Linked DNA regions of Schizosaccharomyces pombe. The gene in region 1 interacts genetically with each later gene. Each region holds a gene or a part of one and is shown in the gene's direction. Other genes may lie near its edges.

Evidence for each region.
Region 2: mutations in ubp3 (region 1) and SPOM_SPAC1F12.04C together harm fitness more than expected from each alone (negative genetic interaction), as found in Schizosaccharomyces pombe (one large-scale study listed by BioGRID).
Region 3: mutations in ubp3 (region 1) and SPOM_SPAC15E1.02C together harm fitness more than expected from each alone (negative genetic interaction), as found in Schizosaccharomyces pombe (one large-scale study listed by BioGRID).
Region 4: mutations in ubp3 (region 1) and tim18 together harm fitness more than expected from each alone (negative genetic interaction), as found in Schizosaccharomyces pombe (one large-scale study listed by BioGRID).

The regions. Positions count from the first base shown.
Region 1 is NC_003423.3:3,674,196-3,681,117, forward strand, and holds ubp3 (ubiquitin hydrolase Ubp3), read left to right. Parts: upstream 1-3,453; 5' UTR 3,454-3,517; coding exon 3,518-3,598; intron 3,599-3,636; coding exon 3,637-5,094; 3' UTR 5,095-5,466; downstream 5,467-6,922. Other genes in the region: histone H2A-H2B chaperone, FACT complex subunit Spt16, read left to right, coding at 1-323; RNA methyltransferase Nop2, read right to left, coding at 556-2,382; erd2 (HDEL receptor), read left to right, coding at 5,831-5,852, 5,890-6,015, 6,071-6,561.
Region 2 is NC_003424.3:3,808,850-3,814,297, reverse strand, and holds SPOM_SPAC1F12.04C (uncharacterized protein), read left to right. Parts: upstream 1-2,448; 5' UTR 2,449-2,656; coding exon 2,657-3,232; downstream 3,233-5,448. Other genes in the region: arrestin-related substrate adaptor Any2, read right to left, coding at 43-1,176; tma19 (translationally-controlled tumor protein), read left to right, coding at 4,264-4,770.
Region 3 is NC_003424.3:3,719,403-3,725,049, reverse strand, and holds SPOM_SPAC15E1.02C (uncharacterized protein), read left to right. Parts: upstream 1-3,213; 5' UTR 3,214-3,293; coding exon 3,294-3,740; 3' UTR 3,741-3,793; downstream 3,794-5,647. Other genes in the region: hal3 (thymidylate synthase), read right to left, coding at 1-1,217; rpl42 (60S ribosomal protein eL42), read right to left, coding at 2,031-2,051, 2,242-2,541; bud6 (actin-interacting protein 3), read right to left, coding at 4,087-5,647.
Region 4 is NC_003423.3:2,032,894-2,038,089, forward strand, and holds tim18 (TIM22 inner membrane protein import complex and succinate dehydrogenase (SDH) anchor subunit Tim18), read left to right. Parts: upstream 1-3,166; 5' UTR 3,167-3,206; coding exon 3,207-3,686; downstream 3,687-5,196. Other genes in the region: MPP complex beta subunit Qcr1, read right to left, coding at 577-1,950; SPOM_SPBC29A3.21 (uncharacterized protein), read left to right, coding at 4,199-4,501; Cu(2+) transporting ATPase Ccc2, read left to right, coding at 5,094-5,196. UniProt on the Schizosaccharomyces pombe protein: Membrane-anchoring subunit of succinate dehydrogenase (SDH) that is involved in complex II of the mitochondrial electron transport chain and is responsible for transferring electrons from succinate to ubiquinone (coenzyme Q).

The DNA.
Region 1 (6,922 bases):
TGAAAACTGTCAACGAGGACCCCATTGCATTCTTTGAAGAAGGAGGATGGGGATTTTTGGGAGCTCCGAGTGATGATGAAGGAGATGATAGTGTCGAAGAGGTTTCTGAGTATGAAGCTTCTGATGCCGACCCTTCTGATGAAGAGGAAGAAGAATCTGAGGAGTACAGCGAAGATGCTAGTGAAGAGGATGGTTACAGTGAAAGCGAAGTGGAGGATGAAGAAAGTGGTGAAGATTGGGATGAATTGGAGCGTAAAGCACGTCAAGAAGATGCTAAGCACGATGCTTTTGAAGAAAGACCATCTAAAAAGAGACACCGGTAAACTCACAAATTTACTTCACTTTCTTATTATTTATATGTAGTTTATTCTAAAAATTCCAGAATACTTTATAATAAAATATTCCACTGAATTGAGATTTGACAACCAGATGGATTGATACAAAAATATAAAGACCGGCTCTTTACGACAACCTATTAATATAATTGTTGTAGTAACACGCGAATCAATGTTCAGTTACCTTTTATTGTGTAATCCCAACCTAACCAAAATTATTCTAATCCTTTTTTTTTGCAACCTTATAACCTTTAGACTTCAACCATTTGCGACGATTCTGCTCGATAATCTCCTTATCGGCTTCATCATTGAAAGTAATATTATCAATTTCAGTAGAATTCTTTTCAATTTCAACATCATTATTTGTTCCATCCTTCATATCATCAGCCACATTTACAGTAGGGATTTTATCAGAAATCTTTTTCAGTTTGGCAACGAAAAAACCGTCTATATTGTGAACATGAGGATAATAACGTCTAGTTAACTTTAGACTTGGATGAAATCTTTTTTCACGAAAACGGGTAAACCCTTCACGTCCAAATTCAAGTCCAGTGGACACTAGCTTAACATTAGGGCGCTTCTTTAAAGCATATTGAATAACTGCTTCATCTTCGTCAACAGTAATACTGCAAGTAGAATACACGATAAAACCACCGGTTTTGCTGTCAGCATTGACAGAATCAATAGCGCTTAGAAGCAATTGCCTTTGTAAATGGCTAAGAGTATCAAAATCCCTTTCAGATTTGTTAGTTTTAACAGACTGATCTTTATATATAACACCAGTACCCGAACATGGGGCGTCAAGGAGAACACGGTCAAAACCGCCAATTACTTCGTTGGGAAACTTGCGGCCATCGTAATTACATACAATAGCATTACGTACACCTAAACGATGAATGTTAGCGGAAAGAGCCTTTGTTCGAGCTTTGTTAGAATCATTTGCAAAGATAATTCCAGTATTCTTTTGTAATGCAGCAACATAAGTGACTTTACCACCAGGTGCTGAGGACATGTCAAGGATACGTTCATTTGGTTGAGGCGCAAGGGCCATTACAGGCAAGAAGGAAGATGCAGCTTGCAGGATGTAATGACCAGCTAAATATTCGGGTGTCGCACCGATTGGAACCTGGGATTCGAATACTTGGAGACCTACTTTGGACCATTTACCAATTGGTTCCAAATTGACACCACGATTAATTAATGCTTGGGCTAATTCTCGTCGCTGGGTTTTTAAAGTATTGGTACGAATTGTGACAGGACGAGGCATTTCATTTGCCTCAAAAAACTCAACAGCCTCAGAAACTGAAAATAATTCAAATAACTTCTCAGCAAGAAAGCGAGAATAACCGTAATACGCACATATATCATTTAAGAGTTGATCAACATATTCAGAACGATTGCGTCCAGGTTCACACAAATTTTTAAAATCATTCAAAACACGGACTATTTCCTGTATCCGCAATTGAATTTGGCTCAAATCCTGTGGAAGAGTAGATATTGGTTGGCTATCGGTAAAACCATCAATAGGTGGAAGAACAGTAGGAGCCTCAGGATGTATGTTGGTATGCAATTCTTCCTCGGCTTCTTTTTCCTCTAATTCCGCTTCCTCATCAAGTTTGCGAGACATGGCTTCCATATTCGCAAGTTCCAAATCCTCTTCATCTCCAGAATCATCGCTAAACATAGGCTTAACCTCATGCTCTTCATCCGAATCAAAAACAGAATCTTCTTCCTCCCCTTCACATTCTTTAGCCTCATCATCGATAAACTCGTCAGCAAATGTTTGGGGTTCCTCGTCATGTTCCAAGTCTGATAAAGTTTCAGCCTCTTCAAATTCGTCTGCATCAATAAGATCTTTTTCATTCTCAGAATCCGAATTTTCAAACAAAGATTTCTTTTCTTCTGCTAATTGGCGTTTCCGAGAATTTTGTGGTTTTTCTTTTGAATGCTTTCTCTTTTTTGCATTTTCTGTCACTTTATGAGAAGAATTATGATTTTCCTCTAAAGTTGGGGGAATTCCTTGCTTAGACTTCTGTTTTCTTCCCATCTTTTATGGAAAATATGTGATGAAGTCCAAAAACGTTTATTTGGGCTGAGGAAAAATTTTGGCACTGGCATTCTTTCAGTCCAACCTCCACTATTCACATCGCTGAGTTTTGTTAAAAACTTTTACGAAAGATAAAGAACATTAAATTTTTTCAAGCAATACTACACTACGCTATGACATACTATGTTGCGTATCACTATATGCCATATGTTTAAATACTTAAGATCCGTTTATTGATACACGAGGATAAACTATCCGTCTATCTACATAGATGCAACGTTGATAGCAACTTATAGAAATATTATTAATAGAGCTACAGTTGAACTGAGGAACGAGGTACAGTTCCTAGCTGTATCGATGATCGATACTAATAGCTTCCTATAAACATTGTCAGTTAAAAATATACTGCATCCCGCTATATTGTAGATCGCAAGAGAAAATTGCCGCAGTTCTATGTATCGTTAAACAGATATTCAAACTGCATTGCTGAAACACAAAAAGATATACCGCATAGCAACAGCATAGTTAACATTATTAAAAATTCACGACTATTGTTATATTTATCTTTTTTAAAATTTGCTACGTACTTTACTGCTCAGCTTACTTAAAAAAGTCACTTAATTTACTCGTTCATCTTACTTCACCTCCTTGACAATTAATCATTTCAATTATGATCACATTAAGACTTGGTTAACGATTGAATTTGCTGCGGCGTAAAATGAGTGACAATATATATTCAAGACCTATATATAGTTCACACAACAGCAGAATATCGAATTTTAAAATTTACTATTTACTTTTCTCTTTTCGTATCACTTTTGTGGTTTAAGATACATATAGTGGTACTTAGATATGTAAATATACCGTATTCTCTAAAAATAACTAAAGATGGGCATGGACATTCAATAATTAATAATAAAAAAGAACAACTAAAAATAATTAGGAATTTGAGTTAGGCGGTCAAGTGTTTACAGTGGAATATCACCATAATACACTTGGTGGAATACGAAGAATTAACGAGGTATAGTGTATATTAAAAAAAGTTTTGGACAGTCTTTTGAAGAGCAAAGCGAACGACAGCCAACCATCAAATTAGTAAACAAGAGTTCAATCTTGCTAGAGTGTGCGTATTTCCATGCGAGATTTGACCTCTGCAACGGACAGCGCGTCTTTGGAAAGTGATTCGTCACGAAATCAATTTATTATCAATTCACTGGTATGTTTTATTAAAATTGTGATTATACTAACGTTTAGCTACCATGGTACTCATGCTCTGAACATGAATTTCCTCATCGAAAGGCTAGAAAAAGGCGTTCGCCTAAGAATTTAGATTGGTCGGTTTCGGTGCAAATGCCTCTGGTCACATCAAAGACGAAAGAGTCTGAAAAATCGCCTAAATCGTGGTCTGCAATTGCGAAAAAGCATGTTCAAGGAGACTCTCCTGTTAAAAAATCACATTCTGTTCCGGTACCGTCTGACAGGTCTGAGAAAAAAAGTTTCAATTCATCCCTTGGTGAATTGATCGAAACATATTCTCCATCCCTCGATGCACCCCGTCCTATACAGCCTCGGGGTTTTATAAATACCGGAAATATATGTTTTATGAACTCTATTTTACAGGCACTAATGTATTGTGTTCCATTTTATAATTTACTTAAGCAAATTAACCGGATGGTTCCGTATAATTTTGAACGTACAACACCTCTTATTGAATCGTTGACAATGCTTTCTAGGGATTTTAGAGAATATTCTGAGAAATTTGATTTACAAGGAGATTCTATTTTGCCAGAAGTGGTATATTCAGCTACTAAGGGGAATCCTCGATTTGAAATGTTGCAGACCGGCGAACAGGAGGATGCTGAGGAGTTTTTGAATTTGTTTCTTGACGAATTACATGAAGAATTCGTGCGTGAACGTAGACATTATTTATTAAAAAATGACGAAAGAAATCCAAAATCTGATATCAAAATTTCAAATGGTATCAAGTCTGGTTTAGATAGTTTTGATGATCAATCTTCTGTAGAAGCTAGTGGCTGGACCGAAGTTGGTAAAAATAAAAAGCCAGTAATTGCTAGATCTGCTACTGTTGAAAGGTCTCCTATAAGCCAAATTTTTGGTGGTCAGCTGCGCTCTACCTTAAGGGTTCCGAGTGCAAGAGATTCTGTTTTGTTAGAACCGTTTCAACCTCTGCAACTCGACATTCAAGCAGAAGATATACATTCAGTTATCGATGCGTTGGAGCATATGACCGCCCCTGAAATTTTACCGGAATGGCATTCGTCGAAAGGAAATGTTACTGCTACCAAGCAAATGTATATAGAGTCACTTCCTCCTGTCTTGATTCTTCACCTTAAACGATTCTTTTACGAAGCATCTGGCGGTACACAGAAAAATTATAAGCCTATTGCTTATCCTGCTCGCTTGAGTATTCCACAAAACGTTTTCAGCCCTTCTGTTCGTGGTTCCATACATCCGGAATATGATTTGAATGCAGTGGTTTATCATCACGGTACTTCTGCGTCTGGTGGTCATTATACTGTCGATGTTCAGCAACTTGATAAAAGCGGCTGGTTTCGGATTGATGATACACACATTCACCGCGTACCTATTCATGATGTTGAAAACTCCGAACTTTCCGCTGATCCGAGTCTTAGTAAACTTGGTCACGGCGATCGTGTGGCATACTTACTGTTTTACACACGACGCTCCTAGGTCATCTGGATTCCTTCCTCCCAAAAAAAATTAACCAATAAAAACCTTAATTGTTTTGTGTATTCTTCAATAAACAACTCAAGGATTTGAGCTAAAACTGGGGACTACACTTTTTTATAATTCTTTTTGTTTAAAACGTCGGTTAGAAAATTTTATCATATCTTTTTTACATAATTTTCTCAAAAAGGTTCAGCAATTTTTTATTATTTTTTATTTTATGAACTTTAGCTATTTAAGATTACGTTCCCTCTCAATCCCTTTAAACTAATCGGCTTTATAATACAACCTTTCTAGGAACTTACTCCGAATATACAAGTGAATTTTCATTGCAGCTTTAATGCAGTATATATTTTAAAACAGTACCAAAAGTAGGGTCAAGTGGTTTTTATTTTGCTGTCCTATTAGTAGTAGGTCAAGTCCAGCTTCATAATGTAATATTTGAAGTACTATGGCATCAAGTTTGTCACTTTAAAGCCCATTTCTATAATTTTCATGCAAGCTAAACTCCTTGTTTTAAATAAAAAGATTTGATCGTTTGAGAATCTTGATTCAGCGCATTCTAAAGTACGAATATAAATTACAGTTTTTTTGTTGCATTTATTAAACATTTGGCCCCCACTTGCATACCCCAATTATATCTCTGCGCAGTTAAGCCTATTGTCAACACCACTACCAAATTCTTTTTCCTAATACCTGGCGCGTTGAAATAGGCACTCCTTACTTTTATTAATTAATCATGACATTTTTCAGTGCACTGGGTATGATGAATTTCGTCAAAGTAAAGCTAATCATTAGGTGATATGGCCCATTTGGCTGCTATTTTCTTGCTTTTGCACCGAATGAAAAAATCGAAAACCTGTTCAGGACTATCTCTCAAATCCCATCTTTTGTTTCTGCTTGTTTATGTTACACGTTATTTGAGTATGTGCTGAACTTTTCGAAAAATACTTTCTTTGCTAACTCTTTTTTTTAACAGATCTCTTTTGGAGATACAAAAGCTTGTATTATTTCTTGATGAGGATAGTTTTTATAGCTTCCGAATCCTATATATGCTACTTGATGTTAATGACTTTGCGACCTACATATGACAAACGTCTTGATACTTTTCGAACTGAATATATCTTAGGTGGTTGTGCAGTTCTGGCTCTCATTTATCCAACCAGTTATACCATTAGTAACATCCTATGGACTTTTAGTATTTGGTTAGAAAGTGTTGCAATTCTCCCTCAATTGTTTATGTTACAACGATCTGGTGAAACAGAGAGCCTGACTGCCCATTACTTATTTGCAATGTGCTTATATAGAGGACTATATATTCCTCATTGGATTTATCGTATTGCAGTTCACAAGAAAGTCATCGGTGTTGCAATTCTTGCGGGCATTATCCAAACCGTTTTGTATGGTGATTTTGCAGTCGTATATCGCCGAACAGTTCTACAGGGAAAAAAGTTCCGATTACCTGCTTAGTTATGATTTTTATTGATGAAAAAAGAAGGAATCTTTATTGTTTTTTTTCTATTTGCATTACCTTTTTCTCGATGCAATAAGTTTCTGATTGCATTTTTAGCAACGCCGTCAAAGGACTATGTTCATGAATGAATTAATGAACTAAATGGGCTTTTTTGTATTTGTATGCAAAAAAATTATAACTTAACTTATCCGTAATACATATGCTCGATGGATGACACGATCTGTTCTTTCTTTCATTAAAATTAAGACTTTAGTACATTATTAGAAAATTAATTTAGGATTTACTGATGATCAGAAACCAAAAAAAAGAATTTTCAATTCATATACGATACAGAAACATTAAGCAATATTTAAACAA
Region 2 (5,448 bases), on another chromosome or scaffold:
AAGATAAAAAAACAAAATTGACGGAAGAAACTAAAATTCGAATCAATCTCTTTGAACATTTGTAGGACATGAAGGTGGAGGTAGTGGAATATCAGTGGGAGAGGATCTAGCAACTTGCTCATATGCAGGAGGACTGGGTCCAACACTATTGAACATTGGGGGGCATTCCTCATCCCAACTAACACCAAGACCACCTCGTTCAGTCAAAGGTAAATTGACCTTCATCCTTAAAATTCGGGCATTCGAGTTTATGGGATGCGAGTTCATCACTTCGACGACTATAGTCTCAAGAATTAGTTGATGGGCAATATATAGAGAGAATTGTCCATCAAAGGAAACATCACAAATAGGCTTTGAAAGTAAAGATGTACTGATAGGGATCTCGAAGATAATTCTATCGCCATCTTCTTTCCAACCAGACTTATGTTCATTATTTCCCAACAGCCGAGTCTCCTTGAAAATGTATGGCTTTTTTGTCCCAGTATGGGTCGAGCAACCATTTATTTGAGCTTTTATCTGTTCTTCTATTCTCCACGAAATCTTCGTTAAGCGCCAACCAACCTTGGAGTTTTCAGGTTTTACACCGGTCAGCTGAAATTCAACAGGAACACAACTCAAAGGGTGAATTACAGGAGGCAGCTCTAAAAGAGCAATAAGCGAAGTAGGGGGGAAGAGACGCTGGGCAATTTTATCAGCATTAGTGACAATAGAGCGTTTCAAGTTTAAAGGATATTCAAAAACAAAATCGGGTTGACTGGGAATCTTAACGCGAGTTTTTAGGATGTAAGTAACGTTTATGAATGGTGAGTTGGTCGTTTGTGGAAAATGTCCAGGTATTATAAAAGTGAATGGCCAAGTATGTGTACCATGAGTATATACGGTAGGTTCTTTAGAAAACTCCCATTTCTCAAAAGCCTCAACCTGAGCTTTGCAATCGGGACAGCTGTCGCGCAAAGGACGCTTTGTGGATATTATGCGGACGAATTCCATGACAATGGATTCGCATTTGAGATCTGCAGGAAATACAGTCAACTTGGCAAGTCCAGATGCTAACGCTCCACTAGAAACATCTGGATTCCCATACATTACCAAAGGAGGAGACTCCATCTGGATGTTGAGTTCGAAAGGTTGTTCTTCTGTTGAAGCATGCTGAAATCTCCTGACTAATGAAGGCATCTTGACGGTTCAGCTAATGACTTAGGAATTAAATATTAAAAGGAAAGAGTAGGAAAAAATGAATCTAAAGAACAAAGGGGGGCCCGATCAGAAGAATTAATATGAGATTGAAATTAAACAAACAGAAAACGGCTATGAAGAGAATGAAATATATTTTTTGGTAAAAATTTTAAATTAATATATATCCTTAACAGCTTCTGAGGTTGAAAGCGACAGCACAAGAGATGAACTCAGGTTTTATGTAGAACGGAATAGGGATTATCGAATTTGGAGCTTACTCCTTAAACGTTTGATCAAAGATAAGCAATTGTGCTTCAATTTTTTTCAAATGATATAAAACAATTGAAAAAACAACTTCCTCTCAATAGTAGTTCGAAATGGAAAAAACAATTAAGTAGCGTTGAATGTGTTTTTCTATGCCAAAATATTTACTCAAATCAATATACAGGAGCCTTTTTTTAGCGTCCAAAGAAATACTTTGCTCACTGTAAGCAGAGCGTAACTATGAATACAGTGCATATAGCACCTCCCTATGAAAAATATACTAATGTAGTAAGAAGAGAAGGTTTTTGCAAAGGAAGAATAGGAAGTGTAGTCTGCATGCTCCCCAGGCCACTGAATGCGAAGGTTTTCAAAGTTTGTTATCTACAATCTTACGTAGCTGTGCGTATCTCAAGCCGACCTAAACAAATCTCGTTATTCCAAATAATATTTATTTTAAACAGTTATCATAATTCTATATGATAATAATCCATAGTAACTAAGCTGTTTTATATGTATCTGAACAAAGGAATAGAAAAAATAAACCCAGTTTCCAAGTTTTTCTTTCTTTTATCCTTGAACATATGTATGTTTAATTCTTAAGATATTGCTACCTAAGGATTTGTAATAAAAAATACGTTATGATAAATATTAAAAAAATAACACATAAATAAGCATATGCCTCTAGAAGCCTAACAAATTTATGTTTTTTATTGCTGAACTATTTTTTTAAAACACATGCAAAAAATGATTTGCCGATACTTTGAAGCCGTCACAGCTGTTTGTTGCAACTGAATACACTTTCCTCAATATCGGAGTTATTTCCGGCGATCTAATCGACGTGATAACTGGAGAAAGTTATCATATCTTATCATTTGTAATTCTAAAAGTAAAATCGATCAACTCATAAAATAACATTTCACTTTGCTGCACTGTAGATTTTTCTTATCAAATCTATTGGTGTACTAAACAGACTAGCTAACGTTTGCTGATCCGATCGACTATAGCAGCACACTCACTCTCTATACCATAAGACGTTGCCGAACCGACATCTATCGTCATTCAAATAATCTTTGGATTTGGTAATTTTAGTCGTTTACATACGCTACTTAGTATTTTTTTGGATTTTACGCTTTTCTACTAAAGTATACGAAAATTAGACTACCTTTCGTGAACAATATAATTGACCAAATCTTAGAGCTGAAATTTTTTGAGAAATATGTCTTATATGCATTCTTTAAACCTGATGCTGCAAAATCCCAGCGGAATTGACAAAATTGCTGCCATTCTTGTCAACGTTGCGAGGTTGGATCCAGCATCTTCGAAATCAACTGCTCAACTGGTTTCTATGCTAAATGAATTTCGATGTATTTTACGTCTTCCTGGTCTCTACAAATTAATCGTAAATTTTCGTAAAGATTCTTCTCCTGAAACTTACATGAGTAACGCAATCAATATTGGATACTATGTCACAGAAGGATTGGCATTCTTAGGCGGCAAACAGATTATTTCCATATCAAAACCGTTGGAAGACAAATTATGGCTTTGGTCTTCTAGATTTTGGCTTCTCGATACTTTATTGACCATTTACCAGCTTTTGCGTGAAAAAACAGAAGACGAAAAGGAGCATCAGTTAGACTTAGCTTCAAACTTGGCTAGCCTTCCTTTGTGTATTCACTGGTCTGTAGAAAATGGAGCTGGTTTACACAAACACCAAATTGGAGTTCTTGGTCTTTTCAGCGCAATTGTACAAACTAGAAAACTAATCCTCTCTTTGCACAATAAAAGAGCTTAGTTACGAATGAGCTTTTTAAATTTAAATAGAAGTTACTTTTTTCATGTAATTCTATTCGTGCTCAACTATTTTTCGTTTTCTCGAATGTCTATGTGAGTAAAGTAGTAAACAAAAGTGGTAACAGTCGTCTTGGTTTTTTCAGCAAAAATCGAAATATGCCATTCTAAATGAAGGGACTGAATCGGTTTAAAGCTTGAAAGGTTTTAGAAATGAAGTCGATTTTAATCGTTAATCCATTCCATTAAAGCGTTTTAAATTTTGGGATATTGATCGAAAATTTAATCAACGGAAAACATTAAGTTACTCTTTGTTTGTCACCAAAATGTACCTTGTCATTTTTTTCTAATTGAACTGAATATCTTTATTAACGAGTGTTTTTAATGGCCCTGCAATTTCAAATTGAGGATGTACGATATCATACTTTTAAGTATATCATATATAAACGTTAAGGAATTATTATCAACTATAATGCACTACTTTTTTAGGTTTCTTCTGAAGCTCAGTACTGTTGAGAATGTTCTAATTACGACTCAAGAATTGACGGATAATAGCTCGAATAATAAATTTGAGGCGACATAAATGGTTACAAGTTGATTAAAGAACATAGAGATTAATACACATACTGTTAAATATGGTTCAATTGTTGAATTCATTTGGACTTTAATTCCAGCTTTAATCTTAATTTTACACGCATCATAATGGTTTCACTCAAAAAATCAGATTCAGTAATATAAAACAATTTACTACTGACTGAGTACAACGATATTTTCATCTAAAAAAAAATCTGAAAATATAAAGAATATTGTTATTTAAAAGAAAGGAGAACAGACTACGACAAATTGAAAAAAATGAAGGAATTGGTAAACAAAATGTATCTATCGAAAACAACGCTGTACTACGTAAAGTGAATACTGTTCGTAACCGCATTCCATACGGATGGCTAGAATCCAGTAACCCTGCCCTAAACTGTGACTGCTTTATCTCATTAAACCTGCGAGAAGTCAAATTATGAGCTACCATCTGCAATCACCATGTTGTTGTACAAGGACGTTATTTCTGGAGACGAACTCGTTTCTGACGCCTACGACTTGAAGGAGGTAGACGATATTGTCTACGAGGCTGATTGCCAAATGGTCACTGTCAAGCAAGGTGGTGATGTTGACATTGGTGCCAACCCTTCTGCCGAGGATGCTGAGGAGAATGCTGAAGAGGGTACTGAGACTGTAAACAATCTTGTTTACTCTTTCCGTTTAAGCCCTACTTCTTTTGACAAGAAGTCCTATATGTCTTACATCAAGGGTTACATGAAGGCTATCAAGGCTCGTCTTCAAGAAAGCAACCCCGAGCGTGTTCCTGTTTTCGAGAAGAATGCCATTGGATTCGTCAAGAAGATTTTGGCTAACTTCAAGGACTACGACTTTTACATTGGTGAGAGCATGGATCCCGACGCAATGGTTGTCTTAATGAACTACCGTGAGGATGGTATTACTCCCTACATGATCTTCTTCAAGGACGGTCTTGTTTCTGAGAAGTTCTAAATGCAAATTTGGGTTCTTATAAGGGAGTTTCTAACTGGGAACATGATATCATGTCTAAATTTTATAGTTTTGTGAATTAGTTTTCACAAAATTTCATTAGGATTAGAACAGGGGTTTTTGTTCTGATAATAATTAATTATGCTAGCTTATAATCATGTTCAAATTGAAATTAGTGTTTTTTTATCGATTTTGTATTTGGTTGAATGGAAGATTGAGGTATCGATGTTTTAAAACGTGTGTGCTAAAATTCATGAATCTATTTATATATTAACAGGCCGAAATAATTTAGTAAGTAAGGATATGGTTTGAAATTTGGTATTTTACCATTAATTTAGTGTATTTTTTTGCTTTTTATCGAAGTTGATAATTCAAGTCCTTTACGAGGAATAGCCAAACTTTTGTTATGGCGACACTAGACGACCCGGTAGCCATTGAAACTTTGTTACAGTCGAAACTATAGTTTACTGTTAGTACTAAAGATTTGGGAAATTTTTGCTCGACGATGTTATTTTTGTAGCGGACGACTATTGGATTAAATTTATGCTTAATTGTTAAGCCTTTTAATCAATCTTATCATTGAGTTAATAGACTAGTTGCATTTAATTTTGTCAATGTATATTGTTACGTTTAAATAGTAAACTATATAAGCAGTTTAAATCAACGAGTTTAGCTACAATA
Region 3 (5,647 bases), on another chromosome or scaffold:
TTTTCACTTAAATGATTGGCATTAGTATCACCGTGAATAAACCAAAGTAACTCTTCAAGCACACCACGTAAAAAAACACGCTTTGTAGTGAGAAGAGGTAGAGTATTATTCCTTAAAGAAAAGCGTAGTTGTGGAGGAGCAAATACCGATCTCGTACCAGTTCCCGTGCGATCGGGCCGCGACTGGCCATTTTCAAGGATATATCGAATCAAATTTAGGTATTGCTCTTCTTCTGTATTTCTATATTCGGAGGAAGTAAATGGTACAGGAGGTTCGGGTTTGGTAGTAACATTTTCAGAGGCCTGAGTATCCACCGATTCCGAGCCTAATGGAGCTTGGGAGGTCTCGTGATCTTTGCTTATAGAAGATTCTGTAGTAGAGGGTAAAAGAGAGGCCTTGGGGGTAATATCTGCATTTGCAGAAGTTTCAATCATACTGTTGGATTGTTCATTATCATCAACATCGTCATCATCATCATCATCGTACTCTTCAAAAGCAGCAGTTTGTTCACTAGAGTCATCATCTTGTCCATCGATGTTTTTCACAGCGTTCGGCAAGACAGACTTTTGTTCTAGCTGCAATTTATCGGCAACTCTGCCTACAATGTTTCTCCATTCGGCCATACCGCCCATGCCAATATCACCACAGGCAAGCACTTTCTCGATTGGCATGATAAATTCACTATTCTTGTATATTCTGCTAATAGCGCTCAAATGTTCCTGAGTTATAGGATTAGTCCACATCAAGGTATTCATTGCGGGAGCCAAGAGAATTGGTTTTAAAGGGGCCCAGGCACGTATAAGAGAGGTAAGTAAATTGTCACAGAGACCATTTGCCATTTTGGCCATAGTATTTGCACTTAAAGGGGCAATTAACAAAAGATGTGCCCATCGACGTAGCTCAATATGTGTGATAGGACATTCGAGTCCGTCCCAATTTTTCCAATCATCCGCATTGTTATAAACATTGACACCCAAAGCCGTTAAGTCCTCTTTCTCAACAAAGTTACGAGCCGGATCCGTTAAAACGACTTGAACGTCGACGCCCTTGTATGTCAGTAGGGATTTAACGATTAATGTCAATTTTATCGCCGCAACCGAACCCGTTGCAGCGACCAAAATATGATATTTAGAATCCGTAAGTTGTCGCTCTTTCTCAAGGATCATGGGATTTTTTACAGCCCTGGTAGCAAACCTGGCATGCAAAGGTTGTGACATATTGGCCAACGAAACGAAAGTAATTGACGGGCCTTAATGTTGGTGAAGCTAGAGATTATAGATGCAGGGAGAAGGTTAGATATCGATTTATCTGGTACTGCAATTTAATGAAACTTTTATAAACTCATTGAAGCGCGTTATAATGGTCGTCCACAAAAACAAATTTAGCAATTGAACAAGCGAACCTTAGTTTTGCAAGGGAATTGTACACGTCGTACGCAGAAAAACAAAGAACGTACGTTGCTTTAGTACCAAAAAAAAGTAATTATTTATTATGCCTGCAGTGTGAAATCCAAGTGCCGTTATGCAAGGATGCACTACACTCTCACTATTAGCAATTAGTTACTTAATATATCCATAATTCGGCAAATGGCATAGTCTCCTAAACCTTAGAAGACCCGTAAGCATGGATAATTTAAAGAAAATTTTTTTGCAATACTTGAAAGCATATTTGATGCTTTAGTACTCTCGCTATTTTACGCTGTACTTGTTTGATTACTTTTATCTTAGTTAACATGCTGACAAATGTGATGGGTTATTTTCCGAAATCACAACACCTGTCTTCTACTCAAGCAGTAATACAAGTCTTGAAAAGCTCTGACTCAAACCGATGGAACTAGAAACACTCGAAAAAGATTGCTCCAATATTGAGAACAGACCTTAGCGTTAGCGAACTGCTAATTGATGACAACTCATCACTTTGTGTGCTACTCTATCGGAATCATGTCATTATTTATACAATACAAATGAAACACTACTTTGAATTGCTTTTAGGATCACCGTAAAAGAAGAAAATTGTATTTGCTAAAACACTTAGAATTGGATAGCAGCACCCTAAAATGATTGTTAGTAGATGAAATAAAGAAAATGATCGATAATAAGGATGAAACTCAACAAAAGACAATTCATAAAAGCGCTTTGCAAAATTTTTTTTCTGGATTTGAGAGGTATTCAACCACGGCAAAAACTCTTTTACAAATTCGTCTAAATCCAATCCACTCGTTATCAGCATTCTTCGACATACCTTAGTCTTCTTTTCACCACCAAGCTCGAAATGCTTGCAACGCTTCAAAACCAATTGATTCTTGTATTTGCAAGAGACGCATTCCAAACGAAGGACAACCTTCTTGGTAACCTTAGCCTTCTTGTGGAAAACGGGCTTAGTTTGACCACCAAAACCACTTTGCTTGCGGTCATAACGACGCTTACCCTGAGCAAGCTTGGAATCAGGTCCCTTCTTGTATTGGGTGACTCTGTGGACAGTGTGCTTGCGGCAGTTCTTACCAGGACAGTAAGTCTTACGGGTCTTGGGAATGTTCACCATTTTTTGATACTTTTATAAGTGATGGTTAGATGGTGGTGATTAGGAACTCGACAGCATAAAGTTTCTCTGCTAAACCCTTGTTGTACAAATGTGACTGTTTCTTATTCCTCTAGGTTAGGTTTACTTGCTGCTGTAATGTCGTTCAACGCACTGTTCGCAATAGTGTGAACAACCGATAGCTACCCTAAAAGTGTTTACTGCGTAAGATCAAGCTTGCAATATATCAAATGTGGGCCAGCAAACAAAATTTCTAAGCTACATTGTTTTAGTGCTGGAATTTCAATCCAACTTTGATTCTTCTGTGAGGGCTTTTTAATGTAAAACATGCGAAAATTATTGTAGTAAATTTCTATTTTTAATCACTAGTTGTTACCATCGCTGCACTCCAAATCTTATATTTATCGACTTCACTGATTTCTTTATGCAAGACTTGGCACAGCATCCGAACAGTATGAGATATTGCTCCACCAAAAGTTTAGGAAAATGATGTAGATATCACTATGTAAATAGCGAAATAGCGACTTAAAACAAGTCAAGTCAGGCTAAGCAGTATTTCCCAATTATCATACTTCATCGACACGTCAAAGTGACGCCCCAAATTAATCTGTACCTAAATCCATAATTGGACCTTGAGTATACTATATATTTAGTGGTAGCGCCCTTAAATCCTTTAATTACAAAACATTTATTTTACAAAATATTCACATTCATATTAATCTTGTTCTAACTCAAACTAAATATTAATACAAGAAATGCCATCCTACACTCACATGCCGTATGTACGCCCTAGTGCAATTCTCTTGGGGATTGCCTTCGACCATGCTGCTTCTTTCCTCGTTTATGGACCCCTAATGGGCGATATTTGGAAAAGGGCAATGAGCACTGCACCTCACGTCGAATATGACGCTGGAAGTAAAACCAAGAAGGTTGCTACAACTTATGTTAGCAATTTCCTTAGTACAGCAGTTCAGTCGTACTCGATCGCTGCATTGTTGCAACTTACAGGCACTGTGACACTCAAAGGTGCCTTTTTCGTGGGTCTTTATGTATTTGGTGCATCTGGATTGCCCGACGTAGTCGACTATATGTTCACAGAAAGCAGAGGTACCCCTTACATCCTTGTCAAAACTATATCTTCTCTAGTGAAATCAGTAGGCTTAAGTGTTGCCTTGATCGGTTACGGCGTACGTCGTATTTAAGATTCCGATGGTTCAATATCTGATTTTTAAAACGACAAGTTAATCAAATTTTCTTTAATATCTAAGATTTCTTTTCTGTGTTTATCTCATATTTGGTTAGACTGTAAGTGAAAATAGTATCCCAATAGTGGTATTGGACAACATCGAAGCTTCCTTTGCTTGTTATAACTGTACATATTAAGGTATGTTGTAACTCTATTCAGCAAATCCTTGATTCACAAGATTTGCATCAGTCCTAGTGTAATACAGGGTAATTTCTCTCGTAACAATTAAAGTTAAAAAAAGTAAAAAAAAAATACACAAACTGGCATACAATCATTGCCAAATCGAATAAAACTTATGCACATTAAGTTAGGCTTGTCTCTTCAACATCTTCGGCATCTTCGTAAGCGTCATAGTCATCAGTGGATATCGTATCGTGTCTTACATGATGAGTCACTTTACTCATCTGTACATTGTTATCGTACTTAAGATCAGTATTCTCAAACACTGTATCACTAGAACTTTCGACTCTGTTATCGGAGTATTTAGAAGGGGTTTGTTCATCATCTGTTTCATGAGCTGTACTACGGACGATCGGCGTCTCATATATATTAAAATCAGGTTGCTTCAATGGCTTTGGAGTTGCCAATGGACTGCGTTCTAACATAAAATTCTCTGTATCCACCTGTGAACCGTAGTCTATTTCTGCAACAGTTGCTTTAGCAGAATTATCAGGCACAACATGTTCGTCTAAAACAGTGTCACTCGATTCCTCAATGAAACTACCTCCATTTTTTCCATTGCGTTTCGATGACACAAAGTCATCCCATAGAATTTTACGTACTTTTTCATCTTGAATTGTTCGAATTCGATCAGCCTCTTCCGCTCCTCCGATCTTATTCAACTTTTCGTTCTCAACAAAAGTTTTAACTTCTTTTGAAAATTCATCTACTCGTTGCAACAGTCGTTTTTTCTGCAACAGTTCACTACGCTCAATAGCCTGTAGTCGTGCTTCACTGTCGGGTTTTAGATTTAGTACTTCTAGCTGAATTTGATCACGATAACCTTTAATCTCAGACTCAGTGGCAGTTTTCAAAGTTAAGGGTTTGCTTTTAATGGAGGACTTGGCTTGCAATTCAGCTATCGCGGAAACATTTGAAAGGACAGTGGATAATGCGGAAAGATCCCTCTTAAGATCTGATATAAGAACAGTATGACTATCCAGAAATTCTTGCTCTTGTACAATTGCATTTAACTCTCGTTCCCATTGCTTCTTCCAAATTGGAGTTACTTCCTCAAGAGATCTTTCAAGGGTTTGAATCCTTTTTTCCAAGTATGCGCTTTCCTCATTTAATTGAGATGTTTGATCTAAGCCTGGTCGTACTTTGCGCAACAGCACATCAGAACGCATAAGTTCAATCTGATCATTTACCTCATCAAACTTTTCAACTACGTTTTTAACTTCCCGTTCAATCCTGTCCTTGCTGCTTAAAACAAATCCTCTTCCAAATTGGAAATCCAGAGATCCCTTTTCATTAAACGCATTTATCTCTTTCTTAAAATCTTTTATCTTTAACGGAATCCTGGTGAAGAAAGCAGCCGAAATCTGTTTAAGAGAAGCCAATTCTAGTTGCATATTCTTAACTTGTTGGTAAAACTTGTGGTCGATACTATCAGGGACAGAAAAGTTATTTGCCAATTTTGAATGGTCTTCTGACGATTTGAGTGCAGCTGAGTCGTTGGTGTGATTAGTTGAAATATTTTGCTCAATAGCTTTCAAGCGCTCAAGAATTTCTGTAAAAGCAGAAGAAGGACTTTCATGAGTGGTAGTATTAACATGATCATCCAGAGTGTTTTGTGCAGATGAATGTTGAATAGCAGAGACCTCACCGGAATGGAAATCTTCCCTCTTCTTGTTAGCATCT
Region 4 (5,196 bases), 1.6 Mb from region 1:
TCGATAAATTTTACAACACGAACGAATCCGTTTCATTTGTAAACATGGGTAGGTTAGTAAGCGGTTTCCGCTAAATCAGCGATAAAGTGAATAGTTGCTAGAAAGAAAGCAAGAAAGTAAAAGAGATTTTCAAGAGACTGCTAAATGAGAAGGGAGATAGAAAAATAAGATGACAAGGAATATCACGGGAGGATAAATTGCAAGCAAAAATGAATGCAAAGGCAGTATAAGAAGTGTCCGAGCAATACACCTTGACAGATAATAAATGAGAGAAAAGTTTAACTCTGAAGAAAGGGGGTTTTCAAAGGTGATGCAGTAAGCAACCGACTTTGCACTATAAACAACTCTGGTATGCTCTCATCTACTGAAATGATATTACTTGTGTGCAAACAGCTTCATATCCAACCGGTGATAGTACTGATCAACACGTAAACAACGTATATTGGTGAATTCAGCTCATATATCTGAAGAGAGCGAAGAGGCAGACGAAATCATAAAGGCGTTAACAAACAATAGCAAAGGATGAGCCTTAAGATTAAATAATAGACAATAGTCAAAAGTCCCAAGAAAATGCGTTTACCAACGGTTCATAGAAATACTGCTACGAATACGGTTGTAGTCCAACAAACCCTCAATGGAACCAACAGCAGAAACAGCAATGTCCTTGTCCCAAATCATCTCGGAAGCAACGCGGGCTACATCTTTTTCAGTGATTTGACCGATACGGAGATCAACCTCTTGAGGGCTCATACGACGACCAGTTGTAAGCAATTGGCGACCAATGTCCTCTGCAATGGCGGTCGTTGAATCCAAAGAAAGTAAAAGCGAAGCACGGAGTTGTGCCTTGGCACGTTCAACCTCAGCACGAGTTGCAACGGTTAAACGAGCCCAGTTTTGGAGGGTAAAGTGGACGAGATCATCAATACGGCCAAGGTTCTCAGTGACAAGATAAATACCCCAAAGTCCAGTATCACTATAACTAGTACTGAAACTCATGAAGCTATTGGCAAGTTGATGTTGTTGAACAATAGTACTAAGACGAGAAGACAAATGGGGAGATGCTCCCATAGCACGGTCCCAGTTACCAATGATGGCTTGCATGACTAATGCAGTAAAGTAATCTGGGTGTTTCCAACTCATACCTTCAACAGCAATGGCAATGTTGGCAGTTGGTGAATCATCGTCACGAGCACGGATTTCAGACCCGACGAAACGAGGTTTGAGTCCACGAGGAGCACCAAGCGACAATTGCTCAGCTGAAGGCTCCAAATGGCCAAAATATTTTTCGGCGAGCTTTACAAGCTCCTCATGAGATATCGAACCGGCAGAAGAGATAATCATTCTATCACTACGGTAGTTGTCCTTAATATACTGGAGAAGGTCCTCACGGGTAAGAGATTCGATGTTTTCCTTAGGACCCAAAATTGTACGTCCAAGAGGATGACCCTGATAAGCGGTAGCATGTAAATGATCAAAGACTACTTCATCGGCCATTTTGTCAACCTCTTCTTGCTCTCTTAAGATGACTTGGCGTTCACGCTCAACCGCCGAGGCAGAAATGCTTGAATTTGTCAGGATATCGGCCAAAACGGCAACTGCATTAGGTACAGCGTTTTTGAACGCATGTGCATAATAAACGGTTTGTTCACGAGAGGTGTATGCGTTCAAATGTGCACCAGTATTTTCAAATTCCAATTCCAATGCTTTTTGGGAGCGATTTTTCGTTCCTTTGAACGCCAAATGTTCCAAAAAGTGAGCAGCGCCATTATTTTTTGCCGTCTCAGCTCTTGAGCCAGCATCAACGCCCACAAGGACGGTCGCTGTTTGGGCATACGGATGATGTTCCGTAGCAACTGTAAGCCCATTTTTTAAAGTAGTGGTTTCTGTTTTTGGTAAAGCAGTAGTCGCAAAACGACGTACTAGCTTTGGCAAATTCTGAAGCCTCAGCATAGTAATATCAATTCAAGCTCCTTTGGTTGGGTGGGATTCTGTGGATGGTAAAGGGTAAGTAGGTAGCAAGAAGGTATTCCGTAGAGGTGTAGCGTAATACGTGTTATCGAGGTCCCAAGTTCGAATTTCGGCAAATGACCAATTGATCCCATTTAATAAAAAAAGAAAACTAGCAATCCTTGAATCCCTTACTAGAATTTCCATGTAGAGAAAAATAAGAAGTTGACCATTCAAACAGAAACTTTCGGATTGCCTAGTCTTTGCCCTGTGCGCAATTTGCTATAAAGGAAGGAAACGAATGACCGTACAATCCAGTTCATGATATAATATATCTCTACTTAACATGGAGAATCTCATTGGTAAAAAACTATGTAGGGGATATATTGTTTCATCGGTATATTGAAAAGAATCTATATGACATTGAATCAGACAGGGTAAGACACTTCATCAGGTTAAGTTCGTATTCATCTACATTAAAAGGTTATTTATACTTAACGAAATTCTCTTTTCCATGATTTCCATTACAATATTTCGGTTAATACATTTTTAAAAAAATAACAGTCCAACTATAGAATTTTGACTAGCACCGAATCAAGCATTGTTATACATCGACTATTGAGTAGCTTGATGGTTTCTTTTTATGAGAATAGTTTTTTATATAAATGATATTAATTTAAATAAAATTTTCATCCTCTTAAAACCGTTTCTCTAACCTTTTTTTAAGCCAATGCAGCACCTTTATATTAGCATAATTGCTACAAGTAAATTTCTATAGCTTTATCTATATTATATTATTAAGTAAAAAGATTTACAGTAGATTATTGTTTTTTCACAATGTAGTGCTTTCCGTAAAATTTTTTTTGAAACTGCAGTAACTTTTGGTACTGTGTAATATTATAATAGATATTCAAACTCACCACAAAACCCATGTAATATTATATGTAGAAGGTAATTCGTTTTCAGCAGTGAATAATATTATTATAAAAAGTAATAACCAGGTTTTGAAACGACCTTAAAGACCGGAGATTCTTCTGAATAAACTTATTAATCTATTATATCTATTTAAATTTCTAGTCTTTACTCTATGTTATACAATTTTTCGTTTATGAGTAGATAGATTTAGGTTCTCATCGCCTATTTCCGGCCACTCCAAGCTCAACACATCGAGCTGTTGAATGGCCAATAATGTGGACACAAGATCCGCCAATACGAACTCACCTACTACCACCACCAGCTTTTCTTGGTTTACAAACAATATGTTACAAACACGTTTAGGACTTGGAGCACTTCGTCAAGGACGTCTTCTTTTTGCAGTTAAATCTTTTAGCACAACCAGTGTTGCGAAAATTTTCCCTCCTCCCCCTCAGACCATTAAGGGAACTGTTAATGATGCTGCTGTTTTCCCTCACCACAGTAAGCTCCACGGAAGCTATCATTGGGACTTTGAAAGAATTATTGCTATTGCCATGGTTCCTCAAGTCATGATCCCTTTGTTCACCGGAACTTCTCATCCCTTAATGGACGCTGCATTGGCTTGCACCTTGATTACGCATGCCCACTTGGGGTTTGAATCTTGTGTGATTGACTACTTCCCTGCAAGAAGATTTAAGAAGTTATCTCCTTTGATGCACTGGATCTTACGTGGATGTACTGTTCTTACACTTATTGGCGTCTATGAGTTCAACACGAATGATATTGGCCTTACGGAGGGTATTAAAAAGCTTTGGAAATCTTAAGCTTCTTTCCATGCAAACCCATATAACCCCACTTATTTTTTCATAATGATTATTCCTTTCCTTTTTCTTTTTTATTCTCCTTAATCCGTCATCTAGTAAGTTTTGGGCTTGAAACTTACCAGTTCAAACCCCAAAACTGCCAATTGATATTCTGCAGTTGATCTTTGCTCTTTTCTTGATTTCTGGCTTGATTGATCCTCTCAATTTATCTGTGTAAATCTGTTTAGCGCTTGCACAGTATGTTTATGTTTACCTTCAACGATAATTTTTCTAGTGGGAGTGGTTAGAAGACTATTCAAGTTTGTGGCAGCTCTTGTTAAGGTCCTTATGTCGACTTGAATTAATAATTCTTCCAAGACAAAATCCATTGAATTATTTTATTGGGTGTCCCATTTATTATTTATCGTTTAGAATGGGTCAACAATTTACCCATGTACGCTTCGTTCCCTTATTCTTTGATAAGGTATTAGAAGACATGCTCTAACGTTTACCGTTTTAATCTCATTTATCGAATGTTGCGTTACAATTTTCGATATTTACATAACGTTCTTAGCCATACTGTTGTATTTTGCTTTACCGAAGTGTCTTTACACATTGTTAAGCAATTGGGAGTGGAATCATATGCTTGCACTGTGCATGCGTCTCGGTTCCAAAAGTCGTACTCTGCTTCGATCGATTATTGTCAAAGATTTTTATTCTCCTCGAATTTAAAACATAATTATGTCAATTTGAATATTATTTTTACAAGTTGTATATTTCGTAGTTTGCGCGAGTTTTTGCGGTTTTATATCGCTGCCATCATGTGCTTTTTGTAATCTACCACACACTCACTAACACTTTGTTAACAAGTTCAGCTGATAATTTGCTCTTCTTCTGTAGTCTGTTGAAGTTGAATTCGTTTTGTTTTGTATTTTTTTCTAAATCGTTTTGTGGTGAAAATCACGATACAATAAGCGAATTCGAATTCTGAATTCGTGGTATCCCAACCTAAAACAGCTAACTGCTAAGCGTGTAAAAAGACTTTATTAGCTGGCTTTGTTTAACATTGGTATCGTTTTTGTTATTTTTCTTTTCCTTCCAAAGTTTTGTATGTTGATTTTCTTTTGTTGATCATCGGCTTGTCTCTTTTTGCTGTTGACTTACATTAAGTAATTGGTTTTAATCGTCAAATTTTGATTATTTCTTCACTTGAGGGGGTTTCTTTTTTTTTTTACGTCTCTTGTCTTTGATTTGGGTTCCTTACTATTATCTATTTATTTCGACATTTCCAACATTTATCGTTTCTATACAGTAACTCGCTTCTCTTAATTTTCCTTATTTAATCTCTAATTGGCTTGTACTATTTCTTTTTCGTTATTTCTTTTTATAATTTAGATTGCCTTTAAAAATTTTGTTTAGTTTCTTAAAATGTATACTACTACACTTTCAGTCCAGGGTATGACATGCACCAGTTGTGTGGCCTCTATCCAATCCATGTTGGAAGGAGTGGAAGGAATTGAACAATTCACTA